Linked DNA regions of Sus scrofa. The protein of the gene in region 1 interacts with the protein of each later gene in a pairwise test. Links are inferred from orthologs where the notes say so. Each region holds a gene or a part of one and is shown on either strand. Other genes may lie near its edges. The genes, in order: ATP6V1D and C1H9orf16.

The links.
Region 2: the proteins of ATP6V1D (region 1) and C1H9orf16 interact in binary tests that used the Homo sapiens proteins (3 or more experiments, as listed by UniProt). The two-hybrid records come from large-scale screens. The link is inferred for Sus scrofa from reciprocal best matches to the Homo sapiens genes ATP6V1D and BBLN.

Annotation. Positions count from the first base shown.
Region 1 is NC_010449.5:91,082,006-91,086,356, reverse strand, and holds the start of ATP6V1D (V-type proton ATPase subunit D), read left to right. Parts: upstream 1-1,448; 5' UTR 1,449-1,662; coding exon 1,663-1,703; intron 1,704-4,351. UniProt on the Homo sapiens protein: Subunit of the V1 complex of vacuolar(H+)-ATPase (V-ATPase), a multisubunit enzyme composed of a peripheral complex (V1) that hydrolyzes ATP and a membrane integral complex (V0) that translocates protons.
Region 2 is NC_010443.5:268,614,389-268,618,958, reverse strand, and holds the start of C1H9orf16 (UPF0184 protein C9orf16 homolog), read right to left. Parts: upstream 2,920-4,570; 5' UTR 2,707-2,919; coding exon 2,628-2,706; intron 1-2,627. UniProt on the Homo sapiens protein: Essential for intermediate filament organization in intestinal cells, interacts with intermediate filament and regulates intestinal lumen morphology.

The DNA.
Region 1 (4,351 bases):
TGTTATTTGGCATCAGATGAACTGAGAACAGACAGTAAAGCTCTACATAATTCCAAACTGCTGAAAGACACAGAGTTACAAGATTTTTTCCCTTGAATAATAACATCAAACGGGAGAAAAACCAAGACTTCTTGCTAAACCTTTCCTCCACGAAACAATGTTTCTTGTTAAATAAAACTTAAAGTAGTCTAAGTTTGGGGGGGTAATAAAATTCCCTTATCTTTATGTTTTTTTAGTTATGCTTAACCGAAAGATCACAGCGTGTAATTCTACAAGTTTACTTTCATCGATGCTGAAACACGGTAAACCGATACTAAGAGTTATATATAAACTCTTCAACAGTATCTTTTAGTTTCAACTGAAGGGGTGACTCAGTCTACAGAAATGCACCGAGCGATAAAGTGATAGGAGCTTCAATTTTTAAATATAAGTTATCAGAGGAACAAATTATTCTTGGATACTTTTAAACCCAACTCTGTCAACATCATGGCCCAAACCACCGGTTCCTTGAAGCGGCCGGTCTGGTTTCCACTGAGAGGTAGTATTTGCTGGGGCGGACGAAAAAGATGGAATTCTCAGGCCCGGAGAGAGCAAAATGCTCAGCGTCGTGGGGCGGGGGTGTCATAGCGTTCTCCCGAGACGGCCCCACCTCAAGGCACCCCTGTTTTATGTATATTGAAGACGCTGTACAATCACTGGGCCCACTTCCCTTCACGAGATTCCTTCGTTCGTACCTTGACACCACCGCTCGGAGAGACCGACACCCGGCCGGTGGCGACCGCAGTCGCGTCCAGGCACTTCCCGCTCAGGGACGGGAAAAGGAGGTGTTAACCCAGGGCCTACCCTCTACCGAACACCCATGCCATTGGACACAACCAAAGTAAATTCTTCGAGAAACTGATCGGGGAGACTAGTCACCTGAGGTATGTATATGGATCCCGCACTGGGGCCCCGCGCCGCGCTCTTCAATCAGAGAGAACTGACTTGATCCACCCGCAGCAGCCGCCGACTCTCTTCAGCGTGCGCTTCTCTCAACCCTACCGCGCATGCGGAACCACCTCGCAGCACGCAAGCGCCGACAGACTACAGACCGCTCTTCATCACCTACCATAGAGTCTAGGTCCTCCGCGAACAAAGAGGTCTGTGGGCCTTAGGAGGACTTGAAAAGTACATTTTCTCGCCATCTTTAGTTTTCGCTAAGTGACTTTCAAGGCGCAGATAAGAAGTAAGACTCGGATTCCTTGTCCCTAAAGAATAAATTCTCTACGATACTGTCAGTCAACCATGAGGTGGCGCTGTGACCAGAGGTGAATGTGGAGGAGGAGAAGGGGTGTACTCTTCTCTCTCGGTCTTTCGTCTCTTGGGTGTAGAGCCTTGCGCAGCCGCCTGGGAGCTGGAGGGGGAGGGGCTCGGCAGCGTACCGGAATCGAGGGGCGGTTCCGGGGTGCGCGCGCCTCAACATCCGGGCATCGCCTTCTTCCTGTCCCGGCCTTCCTGCACTCCTGTGCCAAGAGAAAGCGGAAGTGAAGAAGAGACACTCCGGCTGCCTCTTAGCAACGCGAAGGGCGTCACGTGACACAACCAGCTGACTCCGGTAGAGAAGGACTCTGTGGCTGCAGCACTTGCCTGGCCTGGGACCGGAGCCGCACGGTCGCCGTCAGAATGTCGGGCAAAGACCGAATTGAAATCTTTCCCTCGCGAATGTAAGTAAAAGAATGGAACGAACACACTTACGGGTTCAGGAACACCGGCCCGGAGCCGCTGTCCGTTCACACCCTGGACCAGCAGCGAGGCACCTTGTTTCCTTGGCCGACTCTGAGCTCTCCTCAGACACTTCGTGAGTCCAGGGCGAAGCTCTTTGGCGGGCCCGCACACATTCCTCTGTTTGAACCGGACTGGGCAGAACGAGCCCAGCCGGTGGAACAGGCGCCCGGCCTGCTGGATTTTATGAAGGCTCATTGACTTTACTCATTAATTGAGCTTTTCACCCCACATTCCTTTATTGAGCCGGGCACTATCCTTACGTACCTATGAGTTTTCGTCACTTGTGCCTTAAGAGAGCTAAAGACAGACAAGCCGAGGAGGTTTGCCGATAATGCTTTGAAAAAGGAAGTTTACTACGATGGGAAGCAGGCTTCTAAGCCAAATTGGGGGTTGAATCCAATCACCGTAACGTGGACGTTAGGTTCGATAGTGGATCCCCTTGCTCCTTTTCCCTTGAAATGTTTGTCGCCTGAGGTGGGAAGCTATCCCAGAATTTCTAAGGCACTCCTTTTGCTCTGTCACCATTGCATCTCATTCAGGCCTGTGTTAATATCACCCATCACGTTGTAAAGTGGATATTGTTTTATGTGTATTTACCACTGAACTACAAGCCCTCTCCAGGATGAGATCTCTTTTATTAATCCATAGAAAGTCCATTAAAAAAATGGTGCCTGAATGAACCCATATTTTGGAATTTGGTCAGTCGTGGGCTTCATTGCCTGAATTCTTTGGCTGGAGAAATAGCATAGCACTCTAGGTGTTTGGCCAGTCTGTAAAGAAAATTTTGAAATTTTCTTAAATGTGCCTAAGAACATGTGGAAAGTAATAATTGTTCTTATTTGTCGTCTTCTCCCCTTTCTCCTCCCCTTCTTCTTCTTTTTTTTTTTTTTTTTTTCTTTCTCTAAGGAGCAGAAAGTCAGTTTTGGTTCTGAGAGATGTTTTGACTGTGGTCCTCTCTTTGGGGGACCTTTTGTTTTTCTTCATTCTGAATTTTTTCTCAGAGAATCTGAGGACTCTTAAATAAGAGTTGTTTTTAAACCCTAAACCTAGTTTTCTGTCTCTGCCTGGGTGGCTACAGCTTTTAATAAAATGAAGGGGGTTTTGTTTGGTTTTTACCTTTACCTGACTTTTCAATAGCTGTTTGTCCTAGATGGACGCAATTCAGTTATGGAGAAAGGTAATGCCTGTGAAATAGTTAATGATCAGGACTACCCTGGGGTTACTGAGGATGGCAGAACGCTCAGCAGTTAAGGACTGATTCAGTCCAAACCTCTGCACGGAGAGACCACCAAACTATTGTGGCTTCTAGCAGCCTAAGCTCTGTTCCCAGGATGACTCTGGCTCCCAGTATAATGCCTGCCTGAGAAAACTCATTGCAGCCACAGCCAGGAGAATTTGCTCTTTGTTTTGTCCCACACCTGAGGATATGCCCTTGAGCGCCCTCCCTTAATTACCTGCTAGCAGACACAGTTGGCCTGATCATCACTTCTGTTTGCCTCCACTCTCAGTCATTTTAAAATGCTTAATCACCTGTGCACAAATTGGAATGGAGCTCAGCTCTTTCCCCTCCTGTCAGTGGTTACTGAAAACATGTGTTTTTACCACTTTAATGACTGGCTGTTTTTAATCTTTGATAGTTATCAGAATGTTAACTTTTTTGTTTGTTTTGGAGATTAAGAGGCAAATACACTTCTTTGGGCTTAGACAAGAAAAATAATAAGTTTGTGAAGGTGAAAATTGCTCTTTGAGAGGATTCAGCTTCCCGATTGAGAGGAAGATCAGGTGGAGGAAATAAATGCTTCTCTGTAAATATTTTCCCCAAGGCATATCAGCAAGTATTTTGTCATGTAGTCAGATGTCTTTGATTCAGCTGGAAACAAAGTCATCATCCTAGCTGAAGGTCAAACATTTTTTGTAAAGCCAAGCAGCTCTGGAGCTTGTAACAGAACAGGTTTTTTTAAGAGCTAGGGTAGAAAACACACTAGGAACATCTGTTTGAGACACTTCCACCTTATGGTGTTATCCTTTGAAATGAGGTTGAAATGAGGCTGTTGTCTAGTTAGGCACCAGAGAGAGCAAAACAAGTTTAGAGTGGAAGCAAAAGAGGCATGAAGGTAGTGAAGTCAACAGAGGTCAGTCATATTCAGGTTCTAGTACATACTGGCTATAAGCCCTTGGGCAAGTCACCCTTGAGGCTCAAAAATTAAAATTTGTTTATTTCACAGAGATGCCACTGCTTAGGAGTAAATTTAAATTGGCATGTTAAACTCAGTTTTAATCAACCAATTCACCTTTTTACTATAAACTTACTGCAGTCTGCAGTACTTGGATTTGACTTAAATTTTTTTTTGTCCTGAACTGAAAAATCTTTATTTATCCCTCATAGTGTAAATATTCTTAAGTTTTACTGCAGAAATGTTAATATGTTTGATTATAGGGTGTAACCAGGCCCCTCAGGGTTATTATTATAGAACATAGTAAATGCATTATACTTTTCTAAAATCAAGCAAAGTCAGAATTCTTTTTTTTTTTTTTTGGCTTAAATTTGATTCAGCTCTTTGAGCCCAAATTCTAATAGTGTCAACAA
Region 2 (4,570 bases), on another chromosome or scaffold:
TCGTTTTTTCTAGGGGCGGGGGGCGGGGGTGGGGTTGTCACAGGGAGGTCAGCCAGACAGTGTCCTGCTTGGGAAGTCCTACCAGGTGCCAGGTCTCCTCACCCCTTCCTGCAGCAGCTGCCTAGAGGCCAGAGCCCCTGTTTCTGAGTCAGGCCATCAAAGCCTCTGTCCCTAGGCAGGCCCTACTCTCCAGCCCTTCCTGGCTCCCCCCTGCCCTGAGGATAGGGCTCCCAGCAGACTCCAGGGCCCTGCGCTCTTTTCCTGCCCCGCCTATGCTGCTTCTTCCTTTGCCTCACACCTGCCTTTGCCCACCTCAGGCCCCTTGAACATGCTGTGGCCTCTGCCTGGAATGTGCTGTGTCCTCCTTCTGTCTTCTTTCCCTCCTCTCCTCCTGGGTGAGTCCCACTCATCCTTCAAGTCCTCAGCGTGGATGGTCCACAGGGAGGCCTCCCAGGCCTGGCTGGATCAGGCCTATCTTCCTGTTCCCCTTGCCCACTGACAGCTCCTCGGCCCTCACCTCCGGATCACCTGCTCTGGTGGCGAGCTAACCTGTCTCCCCCATAGACTATAGCGAGCGCTCTGTGAGAGGTGGAATGGCCTTGTGGTCCCTGCTGTCTTCCCCCGTGCTCTCCATGTCACACAGTAAGCATTTGTTGAATGAATGAATGAATGAATGAATGAAGTCCGACTCTCCAGCCTTCCTGCCTTTGCTTAACTGTTCCTGCCACCTGGAATGCCTCAACCACAAGAGCCGTTCAAGGACCAGCTTCCAAATGCCTCCTCTTCCAAGAATCCTTCCCTGGTCTCCACCAGAAACCACCCCTCCCTCCTCCACAGACACACCTGACCTGCCGCTCTCGGCAACACCATGTCCCTTAGGACCCAAGGTCTGGGCCTGTGCCTACTGCGGGACCCAGTTCTGAGCCAGCCTGTGACTCAGATACATTCAGCTGCCAGCTTGGGACAAAGGGGAAGCGGCTGGCAGTGGCTGCACATGGCCAGGGCTGGAGGACAGTGTCTGGGATAAGGGTGCAAATGCGTCCGCCTTCTGGGGGATGGGCGCCCACTGCCCAGCGTTGGCACAGCTCACAGGGGACAGAGTCCTGGAAAGCCTCTGCTGGATCTTAGAGTCCGATCCCCTTGTGGTACAAGTGGGGAGACCAAGGCCCAAGAAAGCAGGGTCTTCCAGCTGGTTGTTGGCAGAGCCAAAGTTCAGGCTTGGGGAGCAGGGACACTTGGGTCTCAGTCCCAGCTCTGGCCTGTCCCAGCAAGTTACTGCACCTTTCTGAAGAAGGGGGGGGGAGACAAGAATTTTCCCAAGGGTTGTTGTGAGCATTCACATGCAGATATCAAGACCCCAGGGTCTGGCCACAGCAAGCGCTTCGTTCAGTATTTCACATTCCGGTTGGGAAACCCAAGAGAGGAAGAAGATGGGGGAGGCAGAAGTCTCCACTTCTGGGGCTCAGCTTCGTCTGTCAAGTGTCAAGGGTGCTTCAAAGTCCCAAGCCTTTGTCTTCCGATGGGGACGCCCTCTCCACCCCCCACTCTGCCATGCACTAAGTCCAGGGAATCTGCCAACTTCCACTCGGTGTGACTCCCAGGAGGTCCTCCCTGATGCTCCCACCACAGCTCCCAGTGCGATTAACCACGCCTGGTGGCTGTCCACCAGCAGTGCCCCCGGCAAACCGGCAGCTTACCACTTACCCCACTTACTCTACCTCTTTATTAAACACAGACCCTGAGAGAGGACGTGTTCTAAAGCTATTGTGGTGATAGGTGCACAGCTCTTTGAATAACCTAAAACCCACCGAATTGTACAATTTAAGTGGCTAGATTGTATAGGATGTGAATTATAACTCAATAAAGCTGTTCCTGAAAACAAACCAAAAGCAGACTCCATACTTAGCCCATGCTTACTGTCCTGCCCTCTAAATTAATAAACTAATTTTTATTACACTGAAGGGAATAATAACCACTTTCAGAACACTTGCGTGCTTGGAACCTGCTAAGTATTTTCCATTCATTTTCTCATTTAATCCTGGCCCATCTCAATGCAGAAGACACTAACCATCATTCTTATTTTGCAGATGGGGAAACGGAGGCTCCAGAAGGTGAGAAGGGAGCTGACGGTTCTCTCTCCACACCCCCACCCCCACCCCCCGCAGTGCTGTGCAGGCAACAGGCGACTTTAGTAAGCAAGTCACATTCGCCAGGGCTCCAAGCCACACCAGCAAAGGGGGCAGGGGATGCTGATTCAGCAAGTTGGCACGCCCACCCAGAGGGTCCACGCCCGGCCCCGCCCCCCCCCAGGAGCCTCGGTCCCCACAAGGACTGAAAGAAGTGGCTGGAACAAATCCCAGTCCCCAAAGAGCGAGGGACCCTGAAGCGGCCTCAGTTTCCCCGTCTGGAAAACGGGGTTTGCCCACGGAAGTTCCCGATTGCTACGATTTCCAGGGACCCGCTGGCAGTGCTCTCCCGGGGCGCCTGCAGCTCCCGACCCACCCTGGGGCGGGGGGATGGGGAAGGCTCTGCAGTCCCTTCCCTGCCCCTATCCCAAGCTCCAATTCCCCTTCTCAGGAGGGCACCCCCGAGAAAGCAAACGTCGCTTCAGCAGCCCTCTGGGTCACCTGCTTCCCCGAAGCCGTCATTCTCGCCTTCCGCGCCCGCCTCCACCGGCATGCCCAGGTCCCCGTTGGGGCCCGACATTGCGGGCTCGGGCGCCGCAAGGACCGCGCGACGATGGAAAGCGGCGACGGTCGCGCAGACAGCCGGCACCAGGCGGAAGGTGGAGGCGGTGAATGGAACTCGGAGCCGGAAGGGTGGAACGCGCCGGAGGAAAGCGCTTGGGTGGCCGGGGCCCCGCCCCCGAGGCCGGAGCCCCGGGGCCCGAGCTCCGCCCTCTCTCCGCCCCACCGCCGGAACTCCGCCCCTGCTCTGCCGCCAGACTCCGCCCCTACGCTCGAGCCCCGCCCCCACCCTGCCTCACAGTCGAGCTCCGCCCACTTCCGCCAGACGTCCTCCGACCCCAGCCCAGGCCCCGGGCCCGCCCCCATCCCGGCCGCCGGGAGAGACCATCCTGGGGCATCCTGCCGAGAATGTCAGGTGGTGCGGGCTTGGCCCTCGGCGAGGGCACGTGAGCCCGACAGAGGAGCAGGGCAGCCTGGGACCCCTACTCCAACCCATACTGCAGCTGAGGACCTGCGGGTAAGCTAGCCAGCGCCTCTGCGTGGGCAAAATCTGAGATGCGTGGTTTCCAGGGCCCCTAATGTATGGAGAAGGTATCCGTTCACAGCCACCTTGAGAGTCATGGTCAGGAGAGTGCAGCTTGTGGCTGTCAGTCCGGGAAGGCTTCCGGATAAAGTCTACCCAGCTGCCATCACACCCTATCCTTTTTACCAGCTGGGAAGGGGAGGCCTGCCCAAAGTCACCCAGCCAGAAAGCGTTGCTCCTGAGCTGGACTCAGAGCCGTGAACCCGTTCAGGGGTGCCCCTGAGTCCGGTCCGCGTCTGGGGAGAGGGGCTCACTTATTGGGGCTCTTGTAGCTGAAGCTGCTAGGAGGCCCCATGGCTGCTACAGCCTGGTCCTGGCCTCACACTGGCGGTTCCTGTGAACAGGCCAGCCTCTAGGTGGGGTCAGGCCCAGACCCCGATGATGACAGCAGGAAGGGATCCTCTCTGTCCCAGAAGCTGCCTTATTGTTTCAACTGAGCAACACGGAGGCACAGTGAGTCCTCCTGTGGTCAGAGCCACCACTGACTTACATAAGGGCAGCCCTGCCTTCCCCTTAACCAGGCTGAGTGGAGGCGACGCCCTCCACGGAGCCAGAGTGGGAAGAATCGCAGTGAACTGCCCCCACCCAAGTCAGCTGACCCTCCTTGATGTTGAGGGGTGGGTACCCTTCCTCCCTCTGTCCCCCTAGTACCCCCTTCCAGCCAAGCCTCTGCTTACTCCCTACCACTTGGGGCTGGATACCTGCCCTCAGCCCCCTCAGAAGATGCTGTGTCCATGGCTGGGGCAGGTGGCAGAGAGCACCCAAGCCATTCCTGGAGAGGGATGAGTCTTGGGCTCCAGAAGGGTCCTGGGAGTGTACCTGGGGAAGCAGGACCTGCGGCTCAGACTTGATCCCTGGCCCAGAAATTCCGTATGCTGTGGGTGCAGCAAAAAAAAAAAAAAAAAATGCTGGCTATCGGTTCTGTGGCCTCTATCCTTTGCTGAAGACCACAAAGGGGGGTCCAAGAGCGATGCTAATGTGAGCCCACCCTCTGCCTGTCCTCCTCCCAGATGGGACAGGGGTCAAGGAGCACAGGCTGGGGGTGGGGGGATATCTTTATTTAGCAGGCAGGGTGGGGCTCCATCAGCAGGGCAGCCCAGGGAGCAGCTGGTGGGCAGTGTCATGAGAAGCATCTCTGGGCCCTCTCCTTCCACGGGGACCCAGGCTGGTGAGGACAGCTGGGTGGCATGATGGGCAAAGGCTGAAGACATGAAGGTGATGGGAGCTGAGGGAGACAGGAGGCCGCTAGGAGGGAGACAGGGAAGTAAAGATAGCAGCAGTGCTGGGGGAAGGGCAGGCC